Linked DNA regions of Notamacropus eugenii. The protein of the gene in region 3 purifies or fractionates together with the protein of the main gene of each other region. This does not show direct contact. Links are inferred from orthologs where the notes say so. Each region holds a gene or a part of one and is shown on either strand. Other genes may lie near its edges.

Evidence for each region.
Region 1: the proteins of MED21 (region 3) and RPAP2 purify together in Homo sapiens (affinity purification with mass spectrometry; 3 studies listed by BioGRID and IntAct, with this or other methods). This does not show direct contact. The link is inferred for Notamacropus eugenii from reciprocal best matches to the Homo sapiens genes MED21 and RPAP2.
Region 2: the proteins of MED21 (region 3) and MED12L purify together in Homo sapiens (affinity purification with mass spectrometry; 3 studies listed by BioGRID and IntAct, counting the BioPlex papers as one, with this or other methods). This does not show direct contact. The link is inferred for Notamacropus eugenii from reciprocal best matches to the Homo sapiens genes MED21 and MED12L.
Region 4: the proteins of MED21 (region 3) and MED9 purify together in Homo sapiens (co-immunoprecipitation; 8 studies listed by BioGRID and IntAct, counting the BioPlex papers as one, with this or other methods). This does not show direct contact. The link is inferred for Notamacropus eugenii from reciprocal best matches to the Homo sapiens genes MED21 and MED9.

Annotation. Positions count from the first base shown.
Region 1 is NC_092873.1:503,848,193-503,855,466, forward strand, and holds the start of RPAP2 (putative RNA polymerase II subunit B1 CTD phosphatase RPAP2), read left to right. Parts: upstream 1-4,240; 5' UTR 4,241-4,354; coding exon 4,355-4,430; intron 4,431-7,274. Other genes in the region: GLMN (glomulin), read right to left, coding at 595-720, 1,832-1,870.
Region 2 is NC_092877.1:339,850,110-339,858,048, forward strand, and holds the start of MED12L (mediator of RNA polymerase II transcription subunit 12-like protein), read left to right. Parts: upstream 1-4,876; 5' UTR 4,877-5,131; intron 5,132-7,939. UniProt on the Homo sapiens protein: May be a component of the Mediator complex, a coactivator involved in the regulated transcription of nearly all RNA polymerase II-dependent genes.
Region 3 is NC_092874.1:178,501,394-178,508,545, forward strand, and holds the start of MED21 (mediator of RNA polymerase II transcription subunit 21), read right to left. Parts: upstream 3,041-7,152; 5' UTR 2,464-3,040; coding exon 2,422-2,463; intron 1-2,421. UniProt on the Homo sapiens protein: Component of the Mediator complex, a coactivator involved in the regulated transcription of nearly all RNA polymerase II-dependent genes.
Region 4 is NC_092874.1:334,239,261-334,247,063, forward strand, and holds the start of MED9 (mediator of RNA polymerase II transcription subunit 9), read left to right. Parts: upstream 1-4,758; 5' UTR 4,759-4,773; coding exon 4,774-5,186; intron 5,187-7,803.

The DNA.
Region 1 (7,274 bases), on a different chromosome or scaffold from region 3:
TGCCTTGTTCTTTCAAAATTTTTTCATAAACAGTATTTTGTTTTTATCCCACAAGTGACTTTCTTTAAAATGAATAAAAGAGTATAATATTAATTTATTGTTTGTCTGGGTCCCTGAAGTCAGGCCATTGGAGTTGGGCTATATTTTGTATAGTGAAAACTGTACGAATACAGCCCAAGCTTTAAATTAATCCAAGTCTCTACCTAAATGCCACCAATTTTGTTAAAAAAAACCATAGGCATGAACCCTCGCTCTTAATTGTTTAATTTTTTTTAATGAAGTACACAGTACAAAGTGTTTTAAAATCATTACTAAAAGAGTTCTACTTGGCAAACGGAAAAAAAAAATTCAGCTGAATCCCATTTTTAACACTGTTTACCAAGATGTGAATTTGTGCAACCGCTTGGAAGGTTAGGCTTAAGCTATTATGCTAAGTATCCCAATGGTATTAGCTATTTAGATGTACACTAAGAATAGAACGCTCATGCAATGCTCATTTAGTAATCTGGGCAGGGTTATCCAGGGTATCCGTCGGCTGCACTCTATCTAATAAAGTATAAAAAGTTACACATGATAGTAAGTGACAACACTTACCTTGTTCTTTTCATTTTCTAAAATGTCTAATACCTGAGCAACGTGCCCTTCTTCTAAACACTTTTGGCCTGCTAACTGAAAGAGACCAAAATCTTCCTCTTTGAAGTTCTCCTCTTCTAGGATTTGCTTTAGAAACAACAACAAAACCCGACAAGTTAGCATTCATTTACGTGATTATATAATAAATTAAATTATGACTTGATTGTTTAGTCTTGATCTACACCCATAGTACAAACACATGGGCAGAATTAATGACTTTCCTAAACAGTATCCGAATAAACTATCTTAGAATCCAATGTACTAAAATTCAGAAAAACTTAGGAAGCTAGAGAAGCAATGTGTGTCTGGTATCTCCACTATCCTTCTCCCACCCCTGGGAGTATTTATTCATAGTGGGGGCAAAAAAGCAACACTGCTCCAAGAGAAAACCCAAACGTCCAGCCTTGCATACAAAGCATTCTCTGGTACAAACAAATAACAATGTGGAAGGGAGAGGTTTATTTTTGTTCAAAGAAAATTACTTCTGAACAAGTTGTAGTATATGAATGTGATGGAATACTATTGTGCCATAAGAAATGATGAACAGGAAGACTTCAGAGTGGCCTGGAAAGACTTATATGAACTGATGCTGAGTGAAATGAACAGAACCAGGACACAGTAACACAGTAACAGCCACAGTGTGCGATGATTGTTTCTGACAGACTAAGCCCTTCACAGCAATGTAAGGACCTAAAACATTTCCAAAGGACTCATGGAAAATGCCATCCACATCCAGACAAAGAATTATGGAATTGGAAGACAGACTGAAGCAGAATATTTTCTCTTGTGTTATGTTTTGTTTTGTTTTGTTTTTTCTCCCATTCATTTTAATTTATCTATGTAACATGACTAATGTGAAAATGATTTAATAAGAATGTACATGTAGAACCCGTATAAGATTGCATGCCAAAGATTGTATGCCATCTTGGGGAGGGAGAGCAGAGGGAGAGAAAATTTAAGACTCATGGAAGTGATTATTGAAAACTGAAAACAAATAAATTAATTTTTTAAAAAAGAAAGTAAGTAGATCCATTTCTCAAATTTTTTTGAGCTATGTCAGGACTCTCTGGTTTTATGGATGTGGAGTCCCTTCTCTGACACAGATGGCAGCCCCTCTGTTCCTTATTCTAGACCATCTTCATAAGTTGCTATGACTGCAATAAAATAAATTAAAAATTAAAAAAAGAAAATTACTTACACATCTCTTTACTATGGACTGAAGTTCTTCCACAGCCATTCCTGAGTTTTTGACTTTTCTTTCAGTTTTACTGTAGAGAAACACTAAAAAGAAAATAACTGCTCAATTTATATAACCTGCTTTAAGATTTACAAAGGACTTTATATATATATGTATATACACTATAAATATATTTGTTAATTATTTGATTGTTACAACAACTTGTGAGATAGATAGTGGGTTTATTATTATTTCCACTTTATAGGTCAGGAAACTGAGGATGTTGAAGGGTAAGTGATTTGACCATTATCACGTAGTTGAGATAGGAGACTTGACTCCAAATTGAGCATGACTCTATACTCAATGTCAGTGGTGTCAAACTCAAATAGAAATGAATCCCTCCCAGCCAGCCACATTAGAAAACCACAAATTAACATTATTTATATTATATTGTATTTTTCTTTATTTTGTTAAACATTTCCCAATTATATTTTACTCTTTTTCAGCCTCACTCTTGAGTTTTGCAAGAGCCTCTGGCCTTGAGTTTGACTGCTCAGTGCTATATATACCACACTGCAATTAACTGATGAAGATATTTTATTATTATATTAAGGAGTAGGTATATAAATATACTTCTGAATTAAGTATTATTATGAAGAATCTAATAATTTTAAGAGTTTAGTAAAAATCATCGCTGAACTTTAGCAGTCTTTTTATGGAAATATTAAAGATGATAAAACAATAGTTGGTATTTTAAAAAATGAACTTTTCATGTATTTTCTAAGTTTTCCAGTTCCACATTTACATATGCCTACTTTTTTCTGAGATGTCTTTACTTTCCAGAGGAAAGGGTAAGCATTTTGTAATGCAAAAATCACTCCAAATACTGAGAAATCCCAGGTCTAATTCAGAACTCTGGTTCTCTGTTAGCGAACCCATATGGGGTCCTGACACACAGTTTAAGAAGCACTGGGCATCCCTAGTAGAAAATATTTAAGAAGCCCTGCTCTACTGATAGGGACTGGGGGGGAACTCTTTGATCATTCTTGGATTCTACACTTCTACAATTCTATTGGAGATTCCACTATTCTAATGTCACGGGCATCAGAGCATCCCCACTTACAGGGTCATAGTCTAGGTGCAGAAGAGGCCCTAGAAATCCCCTGTGTCAACCTTCTCATCCATCAGCACTGGGATAGCGCTGCTCTGGGATTCTGAAGCCACAGCACTCAATCCAACAAGCCTTCCTTAAGGGATTACGGGGCCTCGGGGCTAAGCTCTGAGGATACTTAGACAAAAAAAAATGCAACTAGCCCTTCAGGGAATCTATCATCACCTACTCTCCTGATCACCCCATCACTCCACCTCAGCATCACCTATACTGACGGCCAATTCCCTCAGTTTACAGAGAGGGAAACTGAGACCGGAGAGCTTTAAGTAATTTCACCCCTTGCTGGGACGGAGGGAAATCGAATGGATAGATGGCTTTTAAAAGAAGCCTCTCCTACTTGTGGGAAGTCAATCAGTCAATCAATCAATCAATCGAGGATCACTGGGAGAAGACAGACCAGAAGCAAGTTCACGAAGCTCCCCCTGCACGTGCTTGGCTGCTGGGCATCGGTGACATTGACCAACTCCTGAAACTGACGCCTGTGAACTAAGTGCCTACTGTGTGCTGGGCCCGAAGAGTGCGCTGAGCAGTGCTCGTCCTCGGGGGCTGGGGGGAGGGGCTCGGAGGCTGTCCCACCGGACGAGCCCCGTCTCCCGGCCTACCCGCTCTCTCCGCTGGGGGCCAGGTGGCTTAGCCGAGATTCAAGCCGCGTGTAGGGCCCCCCTCCACCCCCTAGGCACCCTGGGCTGGGCCGCGGCCTGGATCGAGTCCGGTGACTCCCCAGCTCAGGCCGCGGGCCTGGGGCTAAAGCCCTGCCCCGAGCTCTCCCCAGCAACCAGACCGCCGCCGCAGCCGCCTACCTGCCCCGACCCTCTCCAGGCAGGCCTGGGCCTCCTCCTCCGCTCAGCCTGGCCGAGGCCCCGCCCCTCCCCGCCTCCCGCCCCGCCCTGCCCGGCGCGAGGACCAATGGCGGAAGGACCCAGGCCCCGCCCCGGATCCCGCCCCCATCTGCGCAGCAGGTCTCAGGCTGAGGATAGGAGGAGGAGGAGAAGGAGGAGTCGGTGGCGCTGTCGTCATGGAGGATTGAGGCCCTGCCTCTGACCCCGCCCCCATCCTGCCCCACATCTCACCTCCCACGGCGCAGGGAGGAGGTGGAGCCCTCGGTGAGACAGTCCATGGTTAAGGAGCTGAAGTCCCGCCCTGACCCCGCCCCCTGCCTCACCTCCCAGGCTCTGGAAGGAAGAAGTAGGAGGAGCCTGTGATGTCGTCATGGAGGAGGAGCTAAGGCCCCGCCCCCCGAGCCCATCCCAGGTGGCTCCGGGGAAGGAGGAGGAGCCGGGGGCGGGGCGATCATGGCGGACGAACGGAGGCCCCGCCCCTGACACGCGTCCCGGGCGGCTCTGGGAGAAGGAGGAGGAGCTGCTGCGGCCGACATGGAGGACCAGCCGAAGCCACGGGCCCGTGGCGGCCCCCGGAGCAGGAGCTCCCGAGGCGCTCGCAAAGGCGCGGGTAAGAGCTGGGGCCCAGGGGCCCGTCACGTCACGCCACCCGCGCCGCCCCACGAGGGACTGGGGCGAGGCGCCGAGGTAGAGGGGCCTGCCCCTTGTGGGAGGTGGGGCTAATCAGGCGGCCCGGCTACCCCTCTTCAGGATGGGGATCCCCCCTTAGAAAGAAGGGAACCCCCTTAGAGAGATGAGAACCCCCTTAGAGGATGGGGACCCCCCCTTAGAGAGAAGGGAACCCCCTTAGAGAGATGAGAACCCCCTTAGAGGATGGGGACCCCCTTAGAGAGAAGGGAACCCCCTTAGAGGATGGGGACCCCCGTTAGAGAGAAGGGAATCCCCTTAGCGGATGGGGACCCCCCCCTTAGAGAGAAGGGAACCCCCTTAGAGAGATGAGAACCCCCTTAGAGGATGGGGACCCCCTTAGAGAGAAGGGAACCCCCTTAGAGGATGGGGACCCCCGTTAGAGAGAAGGGAATCCCCTTAGAGGATGGGGACCCCCTTAGAGGATGGGGACCCCCCTTAGAGGATGGGGACCCCCCTTAGAGAGAAGGGAACCCCCTTAGAGAGATGAGAACCCCCTTAGAGGATGGGGACCCCCTTAGAGAGAAGGGAACCCCCTTAGAGAGATGAGAACCCCCTTAGAGGATGGGGACCCCCGTTAGAGAGAAGGGAATCCCCTTAGCGGATGGGGACCCCCTTAGAGGATGGGGACCCCCCTTAGAGAGAAGGGAACCCCCTTAGAGGATGGGGACCCCCCCTTAGAGACAGGGTGATCCAGACCATTTCTCCCCTCTGCCTCTTTAGAAGACTCTGGTCTCCTTAGATTCTTTTTTTAAACATAAATTAAATTATTTGTGTTTAGTCTTCAGCATTCACTTCTATAAGTTTTAAATTTTCTCTCCTTCCCTTCCCCCCTCCCCAAGACAGCTTGCAATCCGATAGAGGGTCTCCATATACATTCTTGTTAAGCGTATTGTCACATCACTCATATTGTATAGAAGAATTAGAACGAATGGAAGGAACCATGAGAAACAAAACAAAACAAAACAAAAATAGAGAAAATCGTCTGCTTCCATCTGCTTTCAGACTCCACAGTTCTTTCTCTGGATGTGGACGGCATTTTCCATCATGAGGCTTTTGGAGTTGTTTTAGGTCCTGGCATTACTGAGAAGAGCTAAGTCAACCAAAGTGGGTCATTGAACAAGGTGGCTGTTACTGTGTGTAACGTTCTCCTGGCTCTCCTCTCCTCACTCAGCATCAGTTCAGTCTTCACAGGTTTTTCTGAAGTCCTCCTGCTCACCATCTCTTATAGCACAATAGCGTTCCATTACATTCATGTACCACAGCTTGTTCATCCATTCCCCAGGTGATGGGTATCCCCTCCATTGCCAGTTCTTGGCCACCACAAAAAGAGCTGAGCTGCTATAAATATTTTTGTGCATGCAAGTCCTTTTCTCATTTTTATGATGTCTTTGGTATACAGCTCTAGAAGTGGTATTGCTGGGTCAAAGGGTATGCACATTTTTATAACCCTTTGAGTGTACTTCCAAATTGCTTTCCGGAATGGTTGGATGAGTTCACAACTTTACCAGCAATGAATTAGTGTTGCAATTTTCCCACATCTTCCCCAGCATTTATAATTTTCCTGTTTTGTCATGTTAGCCAATCTGATGGGTGTGATGTGGTACCTCAGAGTTGTTTTGATTTGCATTTCTCTAATCAATAGTGATTTAGAGCATTTTTTCATTTGACTTTAGCTTTAATTTCTTCCTTGGAAAACTACCTGTTCATATCCTTTGACCATTTATCAATTGGGGAATGACTTGTATTGTTATAAATTTGACTCATTTCTCTATATATTTTAACAATGAGGCCTTTTTCAGAGATACTGGTTGTAAAAATTTTTTCCTAGTTTTCCTAATTTTCTAATTTTTTGTGTCACTCCTGACCTTGGCTACATTGGCTTTCTTTGTGCAAGAACTTTTCAATTTAATGTAATCACAATTATCCATTTTGCACTTTATAATGTTCTCTGTCTCTTGTTGGGTCATAAATTCCACTGTTCTCCATAAGTCTGACAGGTAAACTAAACGTGCTCTCCTAATTTGCTTATATTATCAGACTTTATATCTAAATCATATACCCATTTGGACTTTATTTTGGTATACGGTATAAGATGTTGGTCTATGCCCAGTTTCTGCCATTCTGTTTTCCAGTTTTCCCAGCCGTGTTTGTGAAATAGTGAGCTCTTATCCCAGAAGCTGTGTCTTTGGATTTATCAAACAGTAGATTACTATGGTTCCCCTTAGATTCTAAGGGGAACCTGTAGCCTTGAGGCCACATGTGGCCCTGTAGGTCCTCAGGTGCCACTCTGACTGAATTCAAACTTCACAAAACATTGTTTTCATGTGGCCTCGAGGCCACAGGTTCTCCACCTTGCCTTAGAACATTCACTATCTAAGAGTGACATTCCCACTTTAGAGGACTCTTGCCATTTCCCAAAGGGAATCTAGCCCATTCTCATGCCATCTGCTTTAGAAGATTGTCTGTGTTAAGAGTTTACCCCTGTTCCCTTTGAGAAGCGATCTGAGGAATACTCTGGTATCTTTCTGCCTTCCCTAGTCTGTGAGATTGTAGAATCATAGATCTAGTTCTGTAAGAGCCTCAGAGACCCAGAGTCTAACTCCTTCCATTTGTAGATGACAAAAGAGGCCCAAGTCAGCTCACAGACTCACCCAAAATCGCAGTCACAGTAGTGAGTTCTATCCACCATCTAGGGACCTGTAGAGAGGTGCCTTTGAGGCTAGGAGATTTGGGTGAGAACAGGATCTGTGGATCATCCTGTGTG
Region 2 (7,939 bases), on a different chromosome or scaffold from region 3:
TAGAACTGAACTCAGGAATGTGAATCTTCCTGGTTCCATGACCAGTACTCTAGCCATTGAACCACCTGACTCTCCCAGAGTTGCTACCATTCACCTTCACAAGCTCAGAGTTCACAAAGTTTAAATGAGAGGAAAACAATAGTTGACCTATAGGTCAAAAAAACATACAGAATTCTTATCAGAGCTCATGGAAAAATATCGATCAGTACCAAGGAGGAATCCTTCCCCAGGGACTGAATGTTCTCACTCATAATCATTCACTCAGTAGGGTTTGCATGAGGTGTTGTTTCTTACAGTTCCTCAATGGGTTTATTTTGCCTAAGGAAGCTCTTTGCTTCTCCCAGCAAGTGGAACCCATCACACAATTATTCAACCAACAAGCATTTATTAAGATCTTACTATGTTCCATAGTAACATCTAGAGGCAGCTTGATGGCTTAGTGGGGTAGCGCACAGGGTCTAGAGTCAGGAAGACCTGAGTTCAAATCCAGCCTCAGACACTTACTAGCTGTGTAGCCTTGGGCAAGTTACTCAACCTCTTTTTGCCTTAATCCACTAGAGAAGGAAATGGCAAACCATGGCAGTATCTTTACCAAGAAAACTCCTTGGACAGTATTGACCTGCTACGATCCTCAGTATCACAAAGATCAAACACAAATGAACAAATGAACAATGTTTCATGTGCTGTGCTAGAGGCTGGGGATAAAAGTACAAATAATGAAACAATTCTTACTTTCTCAAGGAGAAGCATCTGCAGAGAGGCCAAGAAAGCTGAGGGAAGAGAAAAGGCATTCGATTTGGCAACTGAGATCATTGGTAATTTTAGAAAGAGGAATTTCAGCTGAATTCCCTATTGAATAATAGGGACAGAGCCAAATTGCAGTGGATTTATTTTTAAATATATTTTTATTTATTTCATTAAATATTTCCCAATTGCATGTACATTTTTAACATCCATTTAAAAAAAATTGAGTCCCAAATTCTCTCCCTCCTTCCAATCCCTTCCTTAAGCATTGAGCAGGCAAGCGATATATCAGTTATACATGTGAAGTCATGCAAAACATATTTCTGCATTAGCCATGTTTGCACAGGTTTCAAAAGAATGTGGGATAAGAAAAAAATGGAAGCACTGACTGTAGGTGGCTTTCTCAAGGAGTTTAACCATGAGGAAGAGGACATATTGGACAGCAGCTAACAGGAATGGTCTGATCAAATAAGGATTTTTTTAAGGGAGCCTTGAATCAGCTCTGGGTCCAGCTCCCTGTCCTGCAGCCCCTTCATTCCAGAGGCTTCCCAGAGAGTTTTGCATCAGATCCAGATCCAAATCCCCAGTCTATAACCTTTGTCTTCACCCAGTACTGAGATCAGACCCAGCCTGAATTGCTAGCTACTTATTGCCTCCTGTCCCAACTCAGCTGGTACTTTCTCCACCTCCTGCCTGTTTTGAGTCTGGCCTCTTAGACTTCAAAAGATTCGGTATCTCCACCAGCTACCACAAACTTGGGACTCAGGTAAGAGCCTTGAACAGTCTAATCTCCATCCTTCAGTGGACCTCTCTCTAATCACTAATATTATGGCTGGATTTATCCCTTAATGATTAACATTCCTACCCAGTCACAGTCCCTTCATCCCAGTGATTCTGAACCCCTAATGTCATTGTACAAACTCCCTTCTTCACCACTGGCTTCCTAACTCCCAATCCCCTCAATTCTACCTCCCTGCCCCAACTCACAATGTCACACTCCAAATCTACTGGCTCCTTTTGACTGGGTTCTCTTGGGATGCTTGCCTACTCCATAGTAACACACTTGCTTTCATCTTAAGAATTTTCTTTTCCCATTCCCTCCATCTTCTGACTCTCTCTGAGACTTAGTCACTCCTTCCAGCCCTGGTTGTACTTTCACTGATACTCTCCAACTCACTGGTTTTGGTGGTGGAGTCAAAAAACCTCCTTGTTCTCCATAGCTACTTTCAGACTCTTTCTTTACTACCACCATCACTCAATAACCTCTCCTCCTTTCCGGTTCCTTCAATCCAAATTGCTCACCCAAATTTATCAAGATTCTGATAGCTGTGATCTATCAGTCCCCAGGACACTTTCCTCCTTTTCTCAATGAGTCCAATGCCTGGATCACAGTTTTTCTCTCCTTCCCAACTCCTGTCCTTCCCTATGGGATTCCAGCATACATATTACTATACCTCCACACCATCAAAAACACATTACTACACCCTAGCTTCACAGTTCCTCAGTCTACTCAGTTTTCATGACCTACTCTTCCTTTCAACCTCAGCTACACATAGAAATGTTCCTGCCCTTTTTCTTACCATCATACCTCCATGTTCATAAACTGCTCATTTCCATTATCTGATCCCAATCTCTTGTCATTCTATCTTTCCCTGTTCTTAGTCCTCACAATGACCAGTCCCTTCCATTCCTTAGTTTCTTCCCATTTCATCACCCCTACATTGGCTAAACTTTTTTGCCTTCCTTAACTTGACCCTTTTGTGAATCAATTCAACTCTACACCCTTCTCCATAACTGAGTCCATTACCTCCCTTATCCTGTTACCATCATGCCTTGCCAAGCCTCAGACTTGGATGACTTCCATTATCTGCTGCCTTTCTTTTTATTCATGTGCTGCTGAATAGAGCTGGAGAAAATGGTGAAAACGTGCTAACTAGGTCCACTCCAAATTTGTGTAGTATAATCTTAACTGGAGGCTCAAGGCTCGCATGGCACACCTGTCCCCTATGTCTAAAATGCTTTCCTTCCTCTTCTCTGCCTCCTGGCTTTCTTCAAGACACCTCAAATTCCACTTTCTGCAAAAAGTCTTTCTCTGCACTGACTCCCTGTCTTCCCCCTGAGACTGCTTCTCATGTATCCTGTATATATCTTGTATGTACATAGTAGCTGGCATTTTGTCTCCCTCTTTAGAATGTAGATCCTCTTTGAGAGAAGGGATTATGTGTCCATCTTTCTCTACATCTTCAGCACTTAACACAGTGACTGGTACATAGTAAATTCTTAATAAATGATTTTAACTAAGAATGAGGAAGACATGGGCATACTTGCAGGCAACTGGAAAGGACTCAGTAGTTAGGGAAAGAGTAAAGATGTAAAGTGTGGATAGTAGAGGGGGCAATCTGTTGGAGTTGTTGGGAGGGAATGGGATGAAAGGCAAATGTTGGCTTTGACATCCAAGGTCTAGCTCATCTGAGACCAGAGTGAAGTAAAAGATAGTGGGAGAATATGTCTAAAGAATGTGAAATAAGGAGGAGGAAAGAGAGGGAAATTCTTAGTGAATTTTTTTTGGCGGGGATAAGAGGAAGCAACAGTTCTCTGCTAAAGAGAACACCAAGTAGGGGGTGCTGTTGGAGCCTTGATGTGAGATGGGAAGGTTTAGAACAACATATGTGGGGAGCTGCATAGCAAAATGATTTGTGAGGGGTAGAGTGTTTGCCTTTCCCAACTGAGATCGGATAACATAAATTGGTCCAACCATCCTAGAAATTATGTAAAAAATTATATAAGAAAAACAACTCAGTTGTGTGTATCCTTTAACCCGGTAATGCTTTACTGGGTTTATATCCCAAGGAAGTTAATGATAACAAGAAAGGCCCCTATTTAGGAGAAGGCCAGTAGCAATACTATTCATAATTGCAAAAACCTGGAAACAATATGCACACAAAGACTGGGAAAATGCTCCACAATTTGTGATAATGAATGTAATGAAATACCATTGCATTGTAAGGAGTAGTGGATATAAAGAATTCAGAGAAACATTAGAAGACATACTAAGTGATTCACAGTGAAAAAAAGCAAATGGAAAAGACCAGCCTACAAGGAAGGCAGCCACTTAATGACTCGTGGAATATGGGACAAATGTTACTTGGCCAGCCCAGTCTTGCTAAGTCCCATGGTGACTGGCCATAAAGGAACTCATAGAATAGATTGAATTCTTGCCTGAGGCAGAAAGAAGCAGTTCGAATGACAGACAAGACTTCAAGAGGTTTTTGTTTTGTTTTGTGACTTGTTTTTTTTTTTGGCTGTCATGAGTATGGATAACCAAAAAACTGAGCTAGCCTCTAGAGCTATGAGCTAAAATAACTCCAACACTCTGCCCACTTCAGGGAGCAGGCTGCACAGCAATGGCAATTCAGCAGAGTACTGGCAGATGGCAGCAGAGACCACTGGAGGACCAACAGAGAGCAGCCCAGCAAAAATATGGGATGATAGAATTAGTACTGTGTCCAGTCACCAGGGGGCAGCAACAGGGAGAGTAGCCTACATGACCATCTTTCAGCTTGATGACATTACCAAACTGGCATATAATATTAGTAGCTCTGCAGGGGAAACCATTTTTCCTGGTTGTGTGTATTCTCTTTGTATGAGTTTTCTCCCATTAATACTCCTGTCCATATGCATTTCTTCTGCCACTGGTGATGTGATAATCTATGGGAGTATACCTTTATGTGTATGAAAGATGGGAAAGACAATGATATTTGTGTATACTTAATTTTGCTTCACCACTAAATTTGGGGTGGGGGGGTGCTTTGAACTAGCGTATCTAAGAAAAGAAACATCAATGGAGACTTTTTAGATGGCTCCAACACAATATATGCCTAAAACTTAGCATCACTTTTGGAGTGGGGGAGGCGCAGATGAGGGAGACTTACACTATATATCCAATGATTGAAATAGTGTAAACGAAGACAGCATTAAAAAGCAATAAAAATTCAGGTTGTATACTGATGAGGTGAGCACCAATTTATTAACATTTAAGTACCCCACTTCCCATTCTGGTAATAAGCAATAAACTCTAAAAAAGGAAAGTAACAAGTGTTATCCATCACCCTGAGGCAGTTTTGCTTAACTGTTAAGAATGTTGGAGGGGTCGGTTGGTCAGAAGTGTCAGCTGTGTCAAAGCAAAATTTATCAATGAAAACCAATAATTTTCATTATATTATAAAGAAAAAAGCAAGAATTAGAGGAGAGTGGGTCACACTGTGGAGCTAGCCCACGATTTTTAAAGCTACTCTGGGAAATTGAGGGTCCTGGGCCTGATGGTAAACACAGAAAACAAAGCAAAGAGGAAACCTTGGAAAAGACATCAATGGATCACAAACTGTAGGTATGTCTACGGGCTATTGTATATATGGAAGAGGGATTACATTTGTGGTGTTTAGCCACATAGGGCAGAACTGAGAGTAATGAGGGAAGCTCTGAAAAAAAAATTAGGCTTGATAGTAGGAAAAATACCTTAACAATTAGAGCTGTTTAAAAGTAGAATGGGTGGGGCTATTCCCTCATGAGAGGTACTCAAGCAGAGTTTGGTTGACCACTTGCTTTTCCACTTATTTATTCATGTTACAGTAGGGATTCTTTGTAGCCATGGGTTGGCTTCGATGGCTAATGAGGCGTCCCTTCCAGCTCTTAAAATCTGTGATTCCGTGATTCTATTGTCTTTGACTTTTCATCACTTGCTTATCACTGCTGGGCTGTAACCCAGCTGTACCATGATCTTTGGAATCGTTAAAATAGAAAATCAAATTCATTTGTGTGGCAGGAGAGGAGCTTCAGTGTTTACCCAAAGAGGCATGACTATTGTGTCTCAAAGAATGGGTTCATATATGTACATTGTTTCCATAGAAATGCATCCCTACTTATGTAATGAGCAACCATGGAAAAAGTGGACAGATAGAATTTTATGTTGGGTACGACTTTCCAAAAACATAAGTCTTCCATATGCTGAGAGATTCCTGTAATCTCAAAGACTGTCTTTGAACAGTCTGCCACACTTTAAAGTTTGGATTGTTAGGGGAGGCATGCAGAATGACAAAGAACAACGACCACATTTCAAGATTATTACAAATGTTCCACATGAAATGAACTAAGGATTCTTTTTGCTTTCTTGGTTAATATATATATTTTTTAAGTTGTAAGGAACTGCTAATGACTTTATGGTAGCAGCGATTATGTATTTGGAAGCTGGGAATTACTGTATAAATTTTTAATGTTTTTACCATGGTGTGGTTTCTCAGAGAGTAACCATCAATTTTCAGATACTTATGCCTAATTTAACCTTATAGTTAGGCTGAAAATAATAATAGCACCTCTAGGTCTGTGAACATTTTTATTAGAATGCAAAATTTTCAACAGTCTATTTTGCATGACTGACTTTTTTCCAGATCTCTATTGCGGAGGCATTCCAGTCTTGTATGTTGGTTTGTTATCAGATCAGTTTAATTGCACACATGTTAATTAAATGCCTGCTATATACAGGGAAAGAAGAAGCATGGCATATTGGATAGAAAGGGCAATTTTAGAACTGGAAAGACCTGAGCATCCTGGGCTGCACTTTGGCATAATAGAAAGATCACATTGGCTTCAGAGTCAGAGGACCTGCATCCCAAAAGTCCACCTCTGATATTTATCTCAATGACCTTGGACCTATATTCCTCTGGACCTCAGTTATCTGTAAAATAAAGCGTTGGACTAGGAAGCCTCTGAAGGCCCTTCTGACTCTAGATCTATGATTCTGGAATCCTGCCTCTGAGAGAGAAAACACACTTGTCTGAGGCCACAGACAAATTATTTCACTCATCAGTGCCTATGTGACTTTCTAAAGTATAAGGAATAAGTCAAAGGTTTTCATTGCTGGAAAGACTTTCCATACTGGGAGTTGTTCCCCTCTGATGAAATCCTAGGGCTACACAATCAGCACCCCTCACATTCCCTCCTGCCACATACACACAAATGTGAAGATCACTATGCTGAGCACCGGGGATTTTTTAAAATGACAAGCCTTTCTTTTCAAAACCTCATGATTTAAACATTAAAATTTTTAACTGTGGACCTTAGAGAGTCCTTGGTACTTTCTTGTAGGAAGGTCCTTTAGTTTTTGAGAAATAAGATTGGACTTTGTTGGAGGTGCAGCTTAAGCCCTGGTCTTCCTAGATTCAAGGCTAGTATCCATCCACTGGGCCTCAGTGTCTCTTACCTGTACAATCCCAGTTGCAGAGCAGATGACCTTATGCATTCGTGGAGGGAGATTCTTTACTCTGGTACTGTCCAGACTTTTATTTCCCACCTTCATCATGGAGTTGTTTATAATACAATAAGTTAGTCTCATTCAAATCTGGCCTCAGACACAATCCTGGGAAGATACATCAGAGGAACAGACAGAAAATTATAATGATAGGCATTGCTTGGCTGGCTATATTTGCAAGTCTAGGTTCTTTGTGTAGGGAAATGAGAGAGAATCCTCAGTGACAGCAGACTTCTCTCATAAAACATCATAATTCAGGATAACAGGACCTGAGGGAAACAAAGCCACAGACTTCGGAGGTGATCTAGTCTAATCCAAACCCTATAAGTAAGTCACATTGACATGAATCCTAACATTTATTATTATACCAAATACTCTCAGAGGCAGCTATATTTCCATCTCTGGGTTCTAGGGATACCCTTGAGAAGTTGGGGTGCTTTTTTAATGCCATCAGATGATACTGTTCCTTTCACTATTAGCCACCAATGACTAGTATCTGAGCACTGTTTAATGAATTAACATCAGGTAGTTTATACAAAGGGATATTTGCTTTAAGGTTGTAGTAAGAGCAGAGGTGCAACATTTCCCCCCAACACCTCAGGGGTACCCCAACTCCTATTCCACTTTGGTGTCTGGGGTGAATGGGCTTAGAAGTAGCAGAGTTTCTACGTAGTGTTGGTCCCATCATGTTCATGTCCAAATCTGGCATTTGTGATAGTCTCAGATCTGGACCAGGTAGTTGAGACTGTTCCTAGTTCCCCAAGACACCAGCACAAGGCTAATTGCACAACCTGGCATGGACTCGATTCCTGGGCTCCTAGACCTTTTGGACTCCACTTTACTGACCTTTTGAAACTCACAAAGTCGTAGCCTCCAACTTCCATCACATAA
Region 3 (7,152 bases):
GCTAGGAAGTGTCTTCGTCCAGATTTGAACTCATGAAGATGAATCTTCCTATCTCCGGTCCAGGCACTCTATCTGCTGTACCACCTAGATGCCCAAAACAGAACTACCACCTCTTTTTATAGATGCTATACTTGTATTTATTAACTGTGAGACCTAAGGGAAATCACTTATTCTCTGTGGTGAAATAGTTGGACTAGATGACCTCTAATATCCCCTTTAGCTCTAAACAGATTATTCTATAAATTAGGTCTTAGATCATTTTAGAGTTTTTGGTTGCCCTGTCACTATTGATCCATACTTGAGTTTTTAACAGCCTCTGAGGTCTGGATCTATTGCTATGATCCTATGATTCTTCTCTTTTATTGTTAACAATATTAATATTTTCCTTCAAAATATCTCATATCTGTCCCTTATTTTCCATTCCCACTACTCAATCTTCTGTTCACCTGTGCACTACTGCAATAGATTCCTGATGTCTCTAGTCTCATATTTCTTTAATCTATTCAGTATACCAATAGAATTTATTTTTTTTAAAAACACCACTTTCATCAAGCCACCACTGCTTCAAATCTTTCAGTTTCCTATCACCCTCAACATAAAATTCAAAGCTCTCAATAATCTCTCCCCTACCCAATATTTCCATCACTCCCCAAAATATATCTTCTGATTCATTTAGACTTCATGAATCCTTTCTAAATCTCTTGAACAAGCAAATCTCTACTTTCTTGAACCCACAGGATTTGAGTAGCATTCATGTTGGCTTTTAATTAATATGCTGTTTTTGTACTGTTACTTTTTAAAATGTGTACATGTTTTGTCCCAATTAAACGCTAAATTTTTCAAGGGAAAGAACTGTATCTTGCAGAACTTAGTGGGGTTGTGCATGCAGTATACACTCATTATCTGCCAAATGAATGAACTTCCACTTCCACCTCAATTTCCCTAAGTTCCCTTCTGAAGACAATGGCTAAGATTACTCAATACTCTATTTTTCATACGTAAAATTATCTTAAAATAGGGTCAACTTTGCAATGCCATGTCAAAGTTAATCCTGGCTGAACAATCACACTTCGATGATCAGGAACTGAAGGTTCTTCACCCTGCTGCCACACTGTTCAGCAAGCCCAATTAAGTGGCAGTCAGGTGGCTAGTGGACAAGGGCACCAGACTTGGACTTGGACTTAGGAAGCCAGGCACCGTGCTAAGATCATTTTTACAAATATTATCTCATTTCACTCTGTGAGATAAGTGTCATTATTATTCCCACTTTACAGCTGAAGAAAGGAGGCCACAGAGCAAACTGAGTGTTCCGGATTCCAGGCCCACCGTCACTAGCTGCCTCTAACAATAACTCCCTCAATAGTTTCTGTGAAAATCTACTATGAAAACACACACAAAGCTTCTTCGCATATAAGAGTTATTTAACTGTGGATCCCCAGTACATTTGGGCCAACAGAGATAAGACAACCTGTAAAGTACACTGGCAGCCCTAAATAAAACTGCTTCTTATAGTCAAAAAGACCCGCGTTCAAATTCGCTTTCAGACACTTGGAAGTTGTACGTGCCAAGGCAGGTCACTTAACCTGTCTGCCTCAGTTTCCTTGAATGGGGATCATACTAGCACTTATCTCCCAGGGCTATTGAGGGGATTAAATGAACATCTCTTAATATTATTAGATATGGGCCAGGTCCATAGAAGGTGCTTAATGAATGCTTACTGATCACCGATTAACACATAGCAGGAAGCTTGGCACATAGAAGGAACTTAATATTTATCGTTAATATCTGGAAGGCGCTTAGCACAGTGCCTGGCACATGAGGTGCTTAGCATTTATTGATCAACGTTTACCGTAAAGTGTTTAGCACATATTTGTATCTGGTTGGTTACTGATTCACACCCGTAACCGTTCTGCACAGCGTCTTGTTCCTCTATTCGGGGGGCAGCCGCAGCCCCGTCTGGGAGCCGGGGGTAGAAAACAAAGCCCTCCTCGCGAGCAGCCCGAGCCCGGAAGGAGCGGGCACCGCCGTCGCACGGCCCGCCCAGGGCCTGCAGCGCTCGCTTCCCTCCTCCGCACCGCGGGGAGGCGCCCAGGACTCTCCTCCGGCCCGTCTCCCTTCCCCCAGAAAGGTAAGGAGGGCGGCTCCGGGGCAGACCAGCCGCGCAGGGGGAGGGGGAAGAACCGACGAGAGCCGAAGGCGATGACGTCTCCGGTGGGTCACTAGCCCCGGTCAACGCCGCGGCCCCTCCCCCTGTCCCTGGGTCAGTCCCGAGCTCGGCTCCCGGCCGGGTCACTGCCACCTCTCTCACCTCGTCATCTCAGCCCCAGCCGCTGCGGGAGGAGAAAGAAAACGCCCAAACCCCGGCGCCCCGTTACCCGCCCAGGAAGAGATGAGGCAGCGACGCCAACTCCATTTCCTCACCGAGTTGACGGCGTCCTGAAGCTGAGTGAGACGATCCGCCATGTTGCCAGCGCTGACGCCAACGCCGCAGCCCTTCCTATAGCCCGCTCCCGCCTGATTGGACGGCGCGGAGCGCCAATCACTGGACTGCTCTTCGGGAAGGGGGCGGAGCCACCGTCTGGCCGGGCGCTGGGAGTGGAACTCGTTTGTTGTGTTTAGTCGTTTCCGTTACGTCCTGCTCCTCGTGGCTCCATTTGGGAGGCCGTCGGCCAAGCCGCTGGACTGGTTTCCTTCCACAGCTCGTTTTACGGTTGAGGAAGCGGAAGCCGACTGGGTGAAGTGACTTGCCCGGGGCTCCCCGGCTAGTTTGTGAGGTCCGACAGGGAGAAACATGTGGTGAAATCGGGAAAGCCTCTCCTAGTCTTTACTGTCCGTCCCCCTAAGTGGACAGGCAGCCTCCCCAGGGAGGTTACCGGAAGACTGCGACACGTGCAGGAAGGCGGGGCTGCTTAGGCTGCGTCTCCCGCCACGCCGCCCCCTGGCCACGTGACTCCGTGTTCTCCTCTCTGACCGGCCCTTCCTCCCCAGCTCCTTGGGCCTGCGCAGTCGTTCCTGACCTCTAACCTGTCCAGGCTGGGTCACCAGCCTTATCCCCCAGGACCGTGGACAACGGAACTGTCTTACTTCCCACAGCTGCCAAAGGGATTTCCCTAAATCATGCCGCCTTCCTACGTAATACATACCAGCTGTTCCCTGTTGCTTCTAGCATCGAGTACAAACTCTGGAATTTCAAGCTCTTCCCAACATGGCCCTGTCTTCCCTTTCCAGCCTTCTTACTACTGCCCTCCACACACACTGCAGTCCAACTCTGCTGGCTTTGATCCTCCAGTCCTTCTTGCTGTTCTTCCCCTTCATTCCCATCTCCCATCTCTATGCCTTTGCACTGGCTGTACCCCCCATGCCTGGAATGTTCTCCCTCTTCAGCTCCAACTCTTGGAAACCCTGGTTCCCTTCAAAATGCAACTGGAGCACCACTTTCTTACATAAAGTCTTCCCTAGTTGCCCTAGGGGCCAGTGTCTTCTCCAGGGTTACTCTGTATCTGTTTTTATATACCCATGTGCCCAGTTAGAATGTAAACTCCTTGAGGGTCCATGTTATTGTCTTTGTGTCCTTAATTCTAGTACTTAGCTGGTTGGTTGTTGTCCTTCATTCTTGAAGAGGACCACAGGGACATCACCATGATAAAGTGAAGTTTCAGTGTGCACGACTGTGGCTGATGAGATCAATACAAACTTGGAATGCTCTAGCACAGATTGGGCACAGATAGTCTGGGTGAACATTTGGGGTGGTGACTCCAAATTTGCACATCCTACGGTTCCTCTGTGCTGTCTCAATTCTGCTTCGCTAATAGAGCACAGCACCCTTTCTGATGTGGGCACACCATGCTGAGTGGTCCTGTGCCAGTGTCTCCCATGTTGCACAATCAAATCCAAAGTTCTTGAGAGAGATCTTGTGGAAAAAAGCACTGACTCCAGAAAGTCAGAGAAACCTAGAATCTAACCCCAGTCCTGTTATTTACTCTTTGATCTTGCATAACATACTTGAGTTCTCTCAGTGTACACTCCTTTTAAAATTAGGAATAATAATATCTTCTCTACCTAACTGATATGATTGTAATGAGGATGAGGTGATATTGTATTGGAAAGAACTTTGTAAACCATAAAGCCTTAAGTGAGAAGTTGCTAACAGTTCTTGTCTGTTTCATGGACCCCTTTGGCAGTCTGGTGAAACCTAGGGATTCTTCTCAAGATAAAATTCGTAAATACATAAAATATATAGGATTACAAAGGAAACCAATTATATGGAAATTCAGTAATCCAACATAAAAAAATAACAAGTTCATGGATCTCAGGTTAAGGATCCCTACCCTGCACAAGCATGATTACAGCCTTATGACTTAACTTTCCTATTATGGTTACCTAGAGCTTTCTAGCTCCCTCAGTGGCCCTTACTGCTTTCCCTATTGTATTCCTTATTGCTACCCTGTTTTATCCAGGGAGATTATGAAATGTAGGAAGAGAAAGAGAAGGAAATTGTTTGCATTTCAACATGCATCTATTTCATGCTTCCATCAGTTACTTCTGGTTTCAGGCTGTTCCCATGGGCACTCCCAAAAAACAGCTGGAAGGCAAGACGTGTATTACCTAATGGACACACTGGATATTTTGCAATCAAGAAAGTTGGCCACAGGTGAGAACTGAAACCATGGTAGTAGAATAAATCCTGAAAAGGATACACAAAGAGCCAAGACCTCATCTTCACCCAAGAATTCATTCCCAGGTTTGAAACCTTAACACATTCAGCCCAGTCAGATCCTGCTTCGAGCAACATGAATCTTACAAAGCTACCACTTAGCAGTAATACTAACTCACAATTTATATTAGCTTTAAGGTTTGCAAAACACTACATTAGGTCTCCACCACACCTCTGCATTATTCCCATTTTACATGGATCAAAAGAGTTAAATGATTTTCCCCGGGCTTACACAGTTAAGTATCTTCCTGACTCCAAGTAGTGTATGATCCAGCACACCAGATTGAGGTATTTACTACCTGTGTGACCTTGGAGAAGATCTGGGCCTCAGTTACCTAATGTGGAAAATGAGGTAGTTGAATTAGAGAACTTCTGAAGTCCCTTGGGACTCTAAAGCTTTCAAGGAGATTGTTTAATTTTTCTCAGGCCCACAATTGGTGTCCAGTAATGAGGGAAGGTACTTGGTTCTCCTGTCTTGACTGTGCCAGAAATAGCTTCCAGTAATCTGAGTTAACTCTATCCAAATTCTACTCTCAAAAGCTTGAGGGATTAGACTGTGAATTCACTCTTTCTTTACCCAGTGTCTGTAACAGACTCCTGCATCAAGGTGAAAGGGGTGGGATTATGTTGCTGAGTCCTGAGCAAACTTTGGTGAGTCTGGAGGTCTATGGAGGCTTTAGAAGCAGCTTGGGTTGGTGATTCATTTGAGTTGATGGTTGGAAGAACCCAAACCTCAGAACATTAATTTCCCTCTGCATTGTGCAGACAGACCTGGAAGAGTCTCTTCCTCTGGAGAGAGGTAGAGAAAAAGAAAAAAAGACCATTGATGCCACAGGGAGCTAGGAGTTGCCACTGCTGCAGGAGAGAATGACGATAGAGAACACCTGCTGGGAACTGGGGAGAACAGCTGGGAATGCCGGGAGGCTCATGGCTTCACCTCTCCCAGGAGGTGTGTTAAGCTTCCTCACCACTAGAATCTCCTGCCTGAACACACTGCCCTGATTTGCAAGCTCAGCCTATTCTTTTCTGTTCTTCAGGCCTCCCTTTAACACTGAACACCCAGGTGGGGGCCACCATTAATGCCAACGCTCCTACTATTTTCTGTTCTCCTTTTCTCCATCATTGATCCTGGGAGGAGGTCCTAGTTAATTGTGCCCTGCTTCCCTGGACTATCGCAGAAAAGTAACAAGGCTTCCAAATTGGTAACTATTGGATGTCCAGACAGCAGGGCACCATACCCTGCCATCTTGGGACTCAAAGAAACTGCACTTTACTGTGTGTTCAGTCAGGTCCCTGAGGTCCCTGTATCCAGAAATTATTCTAAAGTCTGAACTTCTCTAAACTACACATTAACTCCACTCTCCAACGCTGCTGGACCCTTGAGCATGAGAGATCCATTCATTTGATACTTCATCTTATGTTTAACAAACTCCAATCTTTTCTGTCTTATGGTTAACAAACTCCAATCTTTTCTTCCCCAATTGCCCAAGATTCAAAATTAATGTCCACCAAGGGGAAAATCCTCTTTTCTAACTACTCCCCAGTCCCTCTTCCCTATCCACCTTTGCCCTGTTCTTCCCAAATCCTTCTGCTGTTCTGGCCTCCCTTCCCATTGAGTTCTCTGTAACTCCCACATTGTTCTTAATAAATTTCTCTTCATCTTTCACCACTTTCTCACACACTTGTCACCTTCTTGGACTCTCAACAACTTGTCTCTCTAAAAGGCACTGCGTCTCTGCCTACCTTCTCCAGTCCTAAATATGCTCTCTCTCATATTCCCTGACACACAGGGCAAGGAGAGGACGAGGTGGTCTATTCCCTGCTCTTCCCTCTGCTTCAATCATTCAACAATCTCTCTGTCTCTCTCCATTCATTCTGTCTGTATATATTGCTCTGTCCAAATCCTTGTAGTCATTTATCTGATTTCAGGTAAGCCTGCCTCTTGAAGAAGGTTGCCACCTAGCTCAAAGTTTTCTCTCCGCTCAAATCCCTGCCATTGAACTTGGAGACTTCATTATGCATATTGATGCCCCATCAAATATACTGGCATTGTAATTCATCAGCCTCCTACCTTCATTCCATCTCAACCACATGTAGAAATGATCATACCTTGGATCTTACTATTATTCTTAACTATGCTAGCTATATCATCTTAAACACATAAAGTCTTCCCTCTCATCATAAACTCTTAGTCTTCCATCTCTCCCTCTGTCTCCCTTCTAAACCAATTCTTCATCCTTACTATGACATCGAGGCACTCCTCTCCTCCTTGTTCTCTCAGTACATTACCTCTGCTCTGGCCTCACTTTTCACCCTTAAATCTTAATTTTATGGTTAACAAATTCAAATATACCATGCCTGCTACTTTAGAATCCTTTGACCTTTTTTTGGTTGCAGTTTTCATCTTTTCAAAGTCCTAACCTGGGTTGCCTGCATCA
Region 4 (7,803 bases), about 160 Mb from region 3:
CTGACATTTGTAGCTCAATGTACTCCCCTGTACAATAACAAATTTATGGAGAAAAAAACGGCATTTTAAAACTTTTGACATTCAGGGTAAATAGAAATATCCAGAAACAAACGTGTCATGGCTATTTCAGCTTTTCCAAAGCAAATGGCTGCACTTACAGTATTTGACACCTGCATGCAAGGTAATGAAGTCAAAACCTTATTCCTAATTATATTATTTTTTTTAGAATATAATATATTGCATTCATAAGGACTTAATACAATTTCAGTGTTCTCCTGGTTCTGTTCACTTCACTTTGCATCAGTCCATGTAAGACTTTCTAGGTTTTTCTGAAATCATCCTGCCTGTCATTTCTTATAGCACAAAGCTATTCCATTACAATCATATACCAGGGTTTGCTTAGCCATTCCCCAATTGCTGGGTATCCTTTTGGTTTCCAATTCTTAGCCACAACAAAAAGAGCTGGTATAAATATTTTTTTTGTACAAATAGGTACTTTTCCATTTTTTTGGATGTCTTTGGGATATAGACTTGGCAGCAGTATTGCTGGGTCAAAGGGTATGCACATTTTTGTAGCCCTTTGAGCATAGTTCCAAATTGCTCTCCAGAATGGTTGGATCAGTTCACAACTCCACTCCAGGGCATTAGTGTCCCAGTTTTCCCACATCCCCCCCAAAATCCAACATTTTGTTGATGTGAGGTTGAGGTGTGAGGTGGTATAGAGTTGTTTTAACTTGCATTTCTCTGATTAATAGTGTTTCAGAGCATTTTCTGAAACCCATTTTTGCTTGTAAGTTATAAGGCATGTATCACTGGATTAGTGTATCTCACATTGTATTCTGAATTAAATGAAAGATAATTGTGGTATTTAGAATCCTAGAGAATTTGGGAGATGGTAGGAACCTCAGATTCATTTGTTTATTCACTGTTTATTAAGTGTTTACTATTTGTACAGAAGGTGTTAAAAGTTTTGTTACAGCCCTACAAGGTGCAAAGAAAGAGTGTAAAGGAAGTGTTAAAGTTTTCCTAAAACTGCCTTACAAAGTATGAGCATTTATGTAAGGCATGGGGAGTGGGAATGCAGAGGAAACACTTGGCCTGGCATAGGGGCACAGAGTTATGAGCCAGCATTGGCAATGCCAAGACAGAGGCAACACTTGGGCTTGGAGAACAGGGGAAAAGTGCTTAGTCCTTAGCATGGGGGTGGGGAATGATTGAGAAACACTTGATCTGATATAGTCCAAGAGTCAGGCCCCACCAGGGCAGAGCCAAGTATAGGGGGCCAGTGGTAATGCTTAGACCCTAGCCCCATCCCAGGGCATGGGGGTACTGGGCTTGGAGCCAGGAAGATCTAAATTAGAAACCTGTCTCCAGATACTTACTAGCAGCATGTCCTGGGCAAGTTATTAGGATGCCTGCCTCCGTGTTCTCATCTATAAAATGGGGATAGTTTAACTACAAAGGACCTGTGGAGGAAGGTGCTGTCTGCATCCAGAGAAAGAATTGATAAATAGAAGTATGGATAGTACGCATTTACACATATATACATATTTGTGTCCAATGGTAGGGAGAAAAAAGAAAGTTACATAATAACTTTAATATGCACTTTAAAGGAAAAGCAAGTTGTGCATAATAGATTTGCAGTTTCATGTGCAATGCTTTTTTTTTTTTTGCTACTATTCGACTTTGTTAAAGAAATGCTTATTTTATTTCTTAAGTTCAGAATAAAAAATAAAATAAAATGGAGACAGTAACAGCACTTACCTCCAGAGTTGTTGTAAGGATAAAATGAAGTATCTGTAAAATGCTTAATCTTAAAAATGTCATACAAATGCTGCTTGTTAATACTATGTTGATTAGAGTAAGGTCATAGAGCTGTTATATCACAGAGGAAACAGTAGCTCCTTTTGACTGAGAGTTCTGGAGAATGATATGGAACGAAACAGAGGTAGAGAGGAGACAGGCGGTGGAGAATTTTATATGCAAGGTGAAGGCAACATGGTTCAGGGAAAAGAGTCCTACATCTGCTGTCAGACAGACACCTGGGGGTTCGGCTTGGGTCTTCTCTGTACTACTTATGTGACCTGGGCCTCAGTTTCTGTATCTGCAAAATGAGGGAACTAGATCAGAAGGTTTCTCTAAAGTCCCTGCTAGTTTAAAAATTATTTTATACTTTATCCTAAAAGCAACAGGGAACTATGTCATTCATTTTCCCTTACCCCAGTAGAACCTGTATGTATGCATTTACGCATACATATATGTGTGCCTGTATGCCTCAAGAAAAGGATTTTGTATTCCTCAGTTTTGTATCCCCAGTGTCTAACATAGTTCCTTACACATAGTAAATAGTTTTTGTTCGGTCGAGTCCGACTCTTAGTGACCCCATGGACCATAGCACACAAACACTATCCATGGGGTTTTCCTGGCAGGGATACCAGAATGGTTTGTCATTTTCTTGTCTAGCTCATTTTACAGATGAGGAAACTGAGGCAAGCAGGGTTAAGTGATACAGCCAGGGTCACACAGCTAGGAAGTGTCTGAGGCCAAATTTGAATTCAGGTTTTTCTGAGTCTAGGTCCAGCGCACCGAGCCATTTAAATGTCTGTAGTAAATAGCAGACTTAAATAAATGTTGGTGGAAGTCAATTGTTTCCTGCCCCTGCCTCTGTCCTTTCCAGTCTTCTTCTACCTTATACTCTCTGTACTCTGAGATCCAGTGACACTAGCTTCCTTGCCGTTCTTTGAAAAAGACAATCCATCTCCAGACTCCAGGTATTTTTCCTGCTTGTCCCCATGCTTGGAGCATTGTCCCTCCTTATCTCTCTATCTTGACCTCCCTATCTTTTTTCAGCTTCCACTTAAAATTTCATCTTCTAGGTTCTCCTTAATTCTAATGCCTTCTATTGATCATGTTCAATTTATCCTGTATATAGTTAGTTTGTACGTAGTTGTTTGTGACTGGAATCTCCATGAGGCAGAAAACCGTCTTTTGTTATTCTTTGTATTCTCAGAACTTAATGCTATGCTTAAGTGGTAGGTGCTTAAGATTGACTGAAATGTTTCCTGGAGGTAGGTTTGGAATCTAGTTTTGAAGGCTTAAATTGACAGTGAGGGGAAAAGAAGAGCAAATGTGCAGAAAGGTAGTATGGGAAAGAGGGATGGAGGGGGTAGGTAGGTGTGAATTTCAGGCTCACCAGCCTAAGGGAGAGAAATTTTGTCTCCCAATCCCATCTCCATTTCTACCTTCCCCCCCTCCCCCCCAGCATTTAGGAACCCTAAGGTCAATGATCTTTAGTCCCATTCCCTGGAGAACCTTGGTCCTCCCAAAAGAAAGTCAATCCTTCCAAAAGGATAGACCTCAGGCAAGGTGAGGTATGAGATTTTGACAAATGCCTCAGGGAAGGCTAGAGTGAGACCTAATCAATCCCAGTGGTATACTACTGAGAGCCTGTTGTTAAACTTACACTTTGGTAATCAGCAAAAGCTATAAATTAGATTTTAATTTATTGTTTTGTTGATTATCTAGACCTATGAAGGTGATGAACAGATTAAACTTAAAAGTGAGTATATAATGTACTTTTTTTGAGAGTTTGTCTTTAAATACGTATCAGCACCCCCCGCTCCCCTCCCACCCCCCCACCCCATGAAGCCAAATCTGACAGCTCCTTATCAGTTTCCTTGGCTGGATCCTCTAACCACAGCAGGCCCTCAGGGTTCCATCCTGGACCCTCTTTTTCTCTCCCTCCATACTACTTTACCTGGTGATTTCATTAGATCCCAAGGACTTAATCTCTATCCTGATGATTCTGAAATCTACTTACCCTACCCCAACCTCTTTCCTGACCTCCAATTCTTTCTGACATTTTGAACTGGATGTCCAGCAGACATCTTATACTCAATATGTCCAAAACAGAACTCATTATCTTTCCCCCTAAACCCTTCCTATTATTGTAGAGGACAGTACCATCCTGCCAGCCCCTCAGGCTGGAAACCCTAGGAGTCGTCCTGGTTTCCTCATTATCTCTCAGCTCCTCATACCCAAAGCATGTCGATTTCACCTTTGCAACATCTCTTCTCTCCTCTGATACTGTTACCACTCTGGTATAGGACCTCATTATACCTTATTATATGCAGTATATGCAAAATCCTGCTGGTGGGTCGGCCAGCCTCAAGTCCATTCTCCATTCAGCATTCAAAGGCCTTCATAACCTACCCCCTTCCTATTTTTCCAGTCTTCTTACACCTTGCTTTCCAACACATACTTTTCAATCCAGTGACCCTGGCCTCTTGACTATTCCCCTAGTCTCCTTTTCTTGGCTCCAGGCTGTCTCCCACACCAGGGATGCTCTCTCTCTCTCTCTCCTCTGTTCCCAGAACCCTTTAAATCCCAACTAAAGTCCCACCGTCTACAGGAAGCCTTCCCCCACCCCTCAATTCCAGCGTCTGCTTTCTGTCATTTCCTATTTATCCTGTGTCTATCTTGCTTTGCATTTGTATGTTTTCTCCCCCACTAGATGGTAAACTCCTCCAGGGCAGGGGCAGTCTTTTGTCTCTTTTTTGTATTCCGGGCACACAGCACGCAGTCTGGCATATAGTGCGCGCTTAATAATGGTTGATTGACTGGTGAGAAGGGAAGAGCTTTCGCTAACAGGCTTACGCCGTTGCTTAGCAACAGCCAATTCCATTCCCCCGCCCCGCCCCGCCTGGTCCCGCCTCGCTCCGCCTCGCCTTCATCTCGCTTCGCCCCTCCTCAGCCCCGCCACACACTCCTGACATGCGCACTAAGAAGCGCAGGAGGGGGCGGGGCGGCGGACTGCTCGGTGGCTCGCGGCCTCTCCCGTACCCAGCTCGCCCCGGTGCGGCGCGCCCAGTGACGTCTAAAGGAAGCGACTCCCGCCCAGGCCCCGGCGATAATCGACCGAGCGCCGGGTCCGCCGGCCCACCGGCCATGGCCTCCGTCGGCGTGGTCTCCGGGAGGCCGGCGGAGGAGACGCTGGCGCAGCCGCAGGAGCCGCCGCTGCAGGAGCAGAAGCCCCTGCCCGCTCCCCAGCCCCCGCCGCAGCCGCAGCAGCAGCCATCCCAGGCGCAGCCTCCGGCGTCGGTTTCTCTTCAGCCCCCGCCGCCCCCGGGCCTCAAGGAGGAGGAGACCTACTCTTTCCTGCCTTTGGTCCATGACGTCATCAAATGGTAACGTGCTCTCCGCGCTCGCCCCTCCCCTTGCCCCCTCCCCTTTCCCCCTCTCCCCTCCCCTCTCCCCTCCTCCCTCTTCCCTCCTCCTTTCTCCTCCCCTCCCCCTTCTCCCCTTCCCCTTCTCCCCTCCTCCTTTTCCCCTCCTCCTTTCCCCTCTCCCCCTCCCTCTCCCCTCCTCCTTTCTCCTCCTCTCTTCCCCCTTCCTCCACATCCCCACGATTAACTGCCCGGGGGTGACGTGCTCCTTCGCATCTCAGGTAAGTTCTGCGCATCTGCGGAGTCCCCCGAGGATGGGCTCTTTGCAGAGTACACGTTGCCATGGCAAAGAGATGAGGTGAACCCGTGATGGCTCCGGCTGCCTCAGGTGGATCAGGAGCCCAGGGTCCAATGCAGAGATCAGCCCTGCCCGGTAGACCCGAGTGCCCCGTGTAAGGGGAAGGGCTTGGATTTGAGCGATGTCCAAGGATCCCTCTTATGACAGTCAGCAAGCATTTATTAGGCACTTACTGTGTCATCCAGCTACTGCGATGAAGCAGCAGGCATCTAGTAAGTGCTTACTGTCTAAGCCAGGCACTGTGTGCTGGAGCTGGAGATTCAAAGAAAGGCGAAAAAACACAGTCCCTGCCTTTAAGGAGCTCTCATTCTAATGGAGGAGACAGCATGCCAAAAGACTACGCATACAAGATGTAGAGGTGGTCAGTGGAAGATCATTTCAGAGGGAAGGAAGACCTAGTGTGATATTTTGGGGTCAGGAATTCCTAAGCTTTGAAGTTGATGTCATGGTGGACTACCAGCCCTTAGTGCCCCTAGGTGTTGAAGTTGACCCAGTGTAATAAACGTATGTCTTTATACTTTCTGTTAATTAATGAGGAGAGGAGCAGGGTGGCCTGCATCACAGAACTGAAAGAGGGGCCATGAGCATGAGTACCTTTCTTTTTTTCATCTCTCCGCAATATCTGAGCTGTACACAGTTGGTACCACTTGCTCATCCCCTATCAAATCCCAGACAGATCAGAGTATTGGAAAGAGTTGTTTGTCCTTTGTCCTGCAAGAGGACCATGACATCAGGGAAGTGATGCCATGACATACAGGTGAATTAGATGTAGGTGAGAGAGGGCTGTGCAGAGTCACCTCCTCTGCCACCTCACTGCTCCTCCAGAGCAGTCTGGATCCAGGGGCAAAATAGAGATCAGGATGACTGGAGGTGGCCCTCATTGGAAAGAGTGTGTAGGAGAAGTTAGAAAACCTAAAAGTTTCTAGTCCCTTACATTCTGGGTCTAAGTTTCTTTCTTTGCCCAATCAAGGGATTAGATTAGAAAATGTCTAAAATCCCTTTTGGTTCTAATGTTCCAGGGTTCTAACTTTTCTCTCCCGATTCTTGTTGCGTTCATCTTTTACTTTTTTTGATCACTTCCCCTCCCACACACCCCGAATTCCCAGACATGAATTCTAGGCTCAGTACCCCCTCATTGGGCAAATCATTCAACTTCCCTTTTCTTGTTTTCTTCTCTGGCAATCAGAATTGGAAGGATCAAATGAGATAATGTAGCATCTTGTATTTGTATAGGCTTTCACATCTATTGTTATAATTATTTATACCAAGTATTTAAATCCCCTTCCCATCCTTTGTACTAGCCCCAGACTGGGAAAGGCTGCAAAGTATCGTGTAGAGAGCACCGAAAACCTATCTTCTAATCTCAGGTCTGTGATTAACTAGTAGGGTGACTTAGCTTCACCTGACCTCCATTTCATTCCCTGTAAGATGAAAGGGTTGGGTTAGAAAATCTCTAAGGTTCCTTCTAGTTCTAAAATTCTGTGATTTTTCCATTCTTTCCATCCCATGTCCTGTTATTCCCCAACTTCAGCCTAAAACCATAACCATTATGGATTTTGAGGACTTTTTCTGCAAGTGGTCAGATTTCTCCCTGTTACTGTTTGCCTATGTTGTATCTCCCAATCCCATTTTAGTCTATCAAAATTATATTCATCTCTTTAAGTTCATATGATGACCTCTTCCACAATGGCTTTCTTGATGATGTCTACTCATGTACTCCTATAATATTCCTACTTATATAAATATATACTCATATATATATATACACATTCATATAAATCTTTGAACCAGTCAAAGATTTGGTTGTTTTCATCCAAGGATTCAGAATGTAACTCATCCATGCCTACCCCTAGACTTCTGTGTGGCCTACAAGTCATCAGTCCCTCTCACATCTTTTTATTGATACATTTTTTCTAATAAATTTTTGGCCATCTTTGCATTGAGGCCATTGAGTGTCACTGAAGATGTTAATTTTAATCTGGAGAATTTTATCAAATTCTTAAGAGAATTTCTTTACTCTGTCATCTTTCATGACAAGTGTTGGTACATGAGCTGCAGTTATTTCCACAGAGGCCTTTTTGCAAATAGTATCATGAGTACTGAAATACAAGATGGACAAATGTATCAGGAAATAATGTGTCTTCTTGCCTTTGGGTTCACAATAAAACCAATTCTGCTAATCCCTTTATTTACCCCTTCAAGAAGTATTTGGGAAAATCATCCTTTATTTAATTGTAACTTCTCATTTCTTCTGGTGTTATTTATAATGGGAAGTTTATG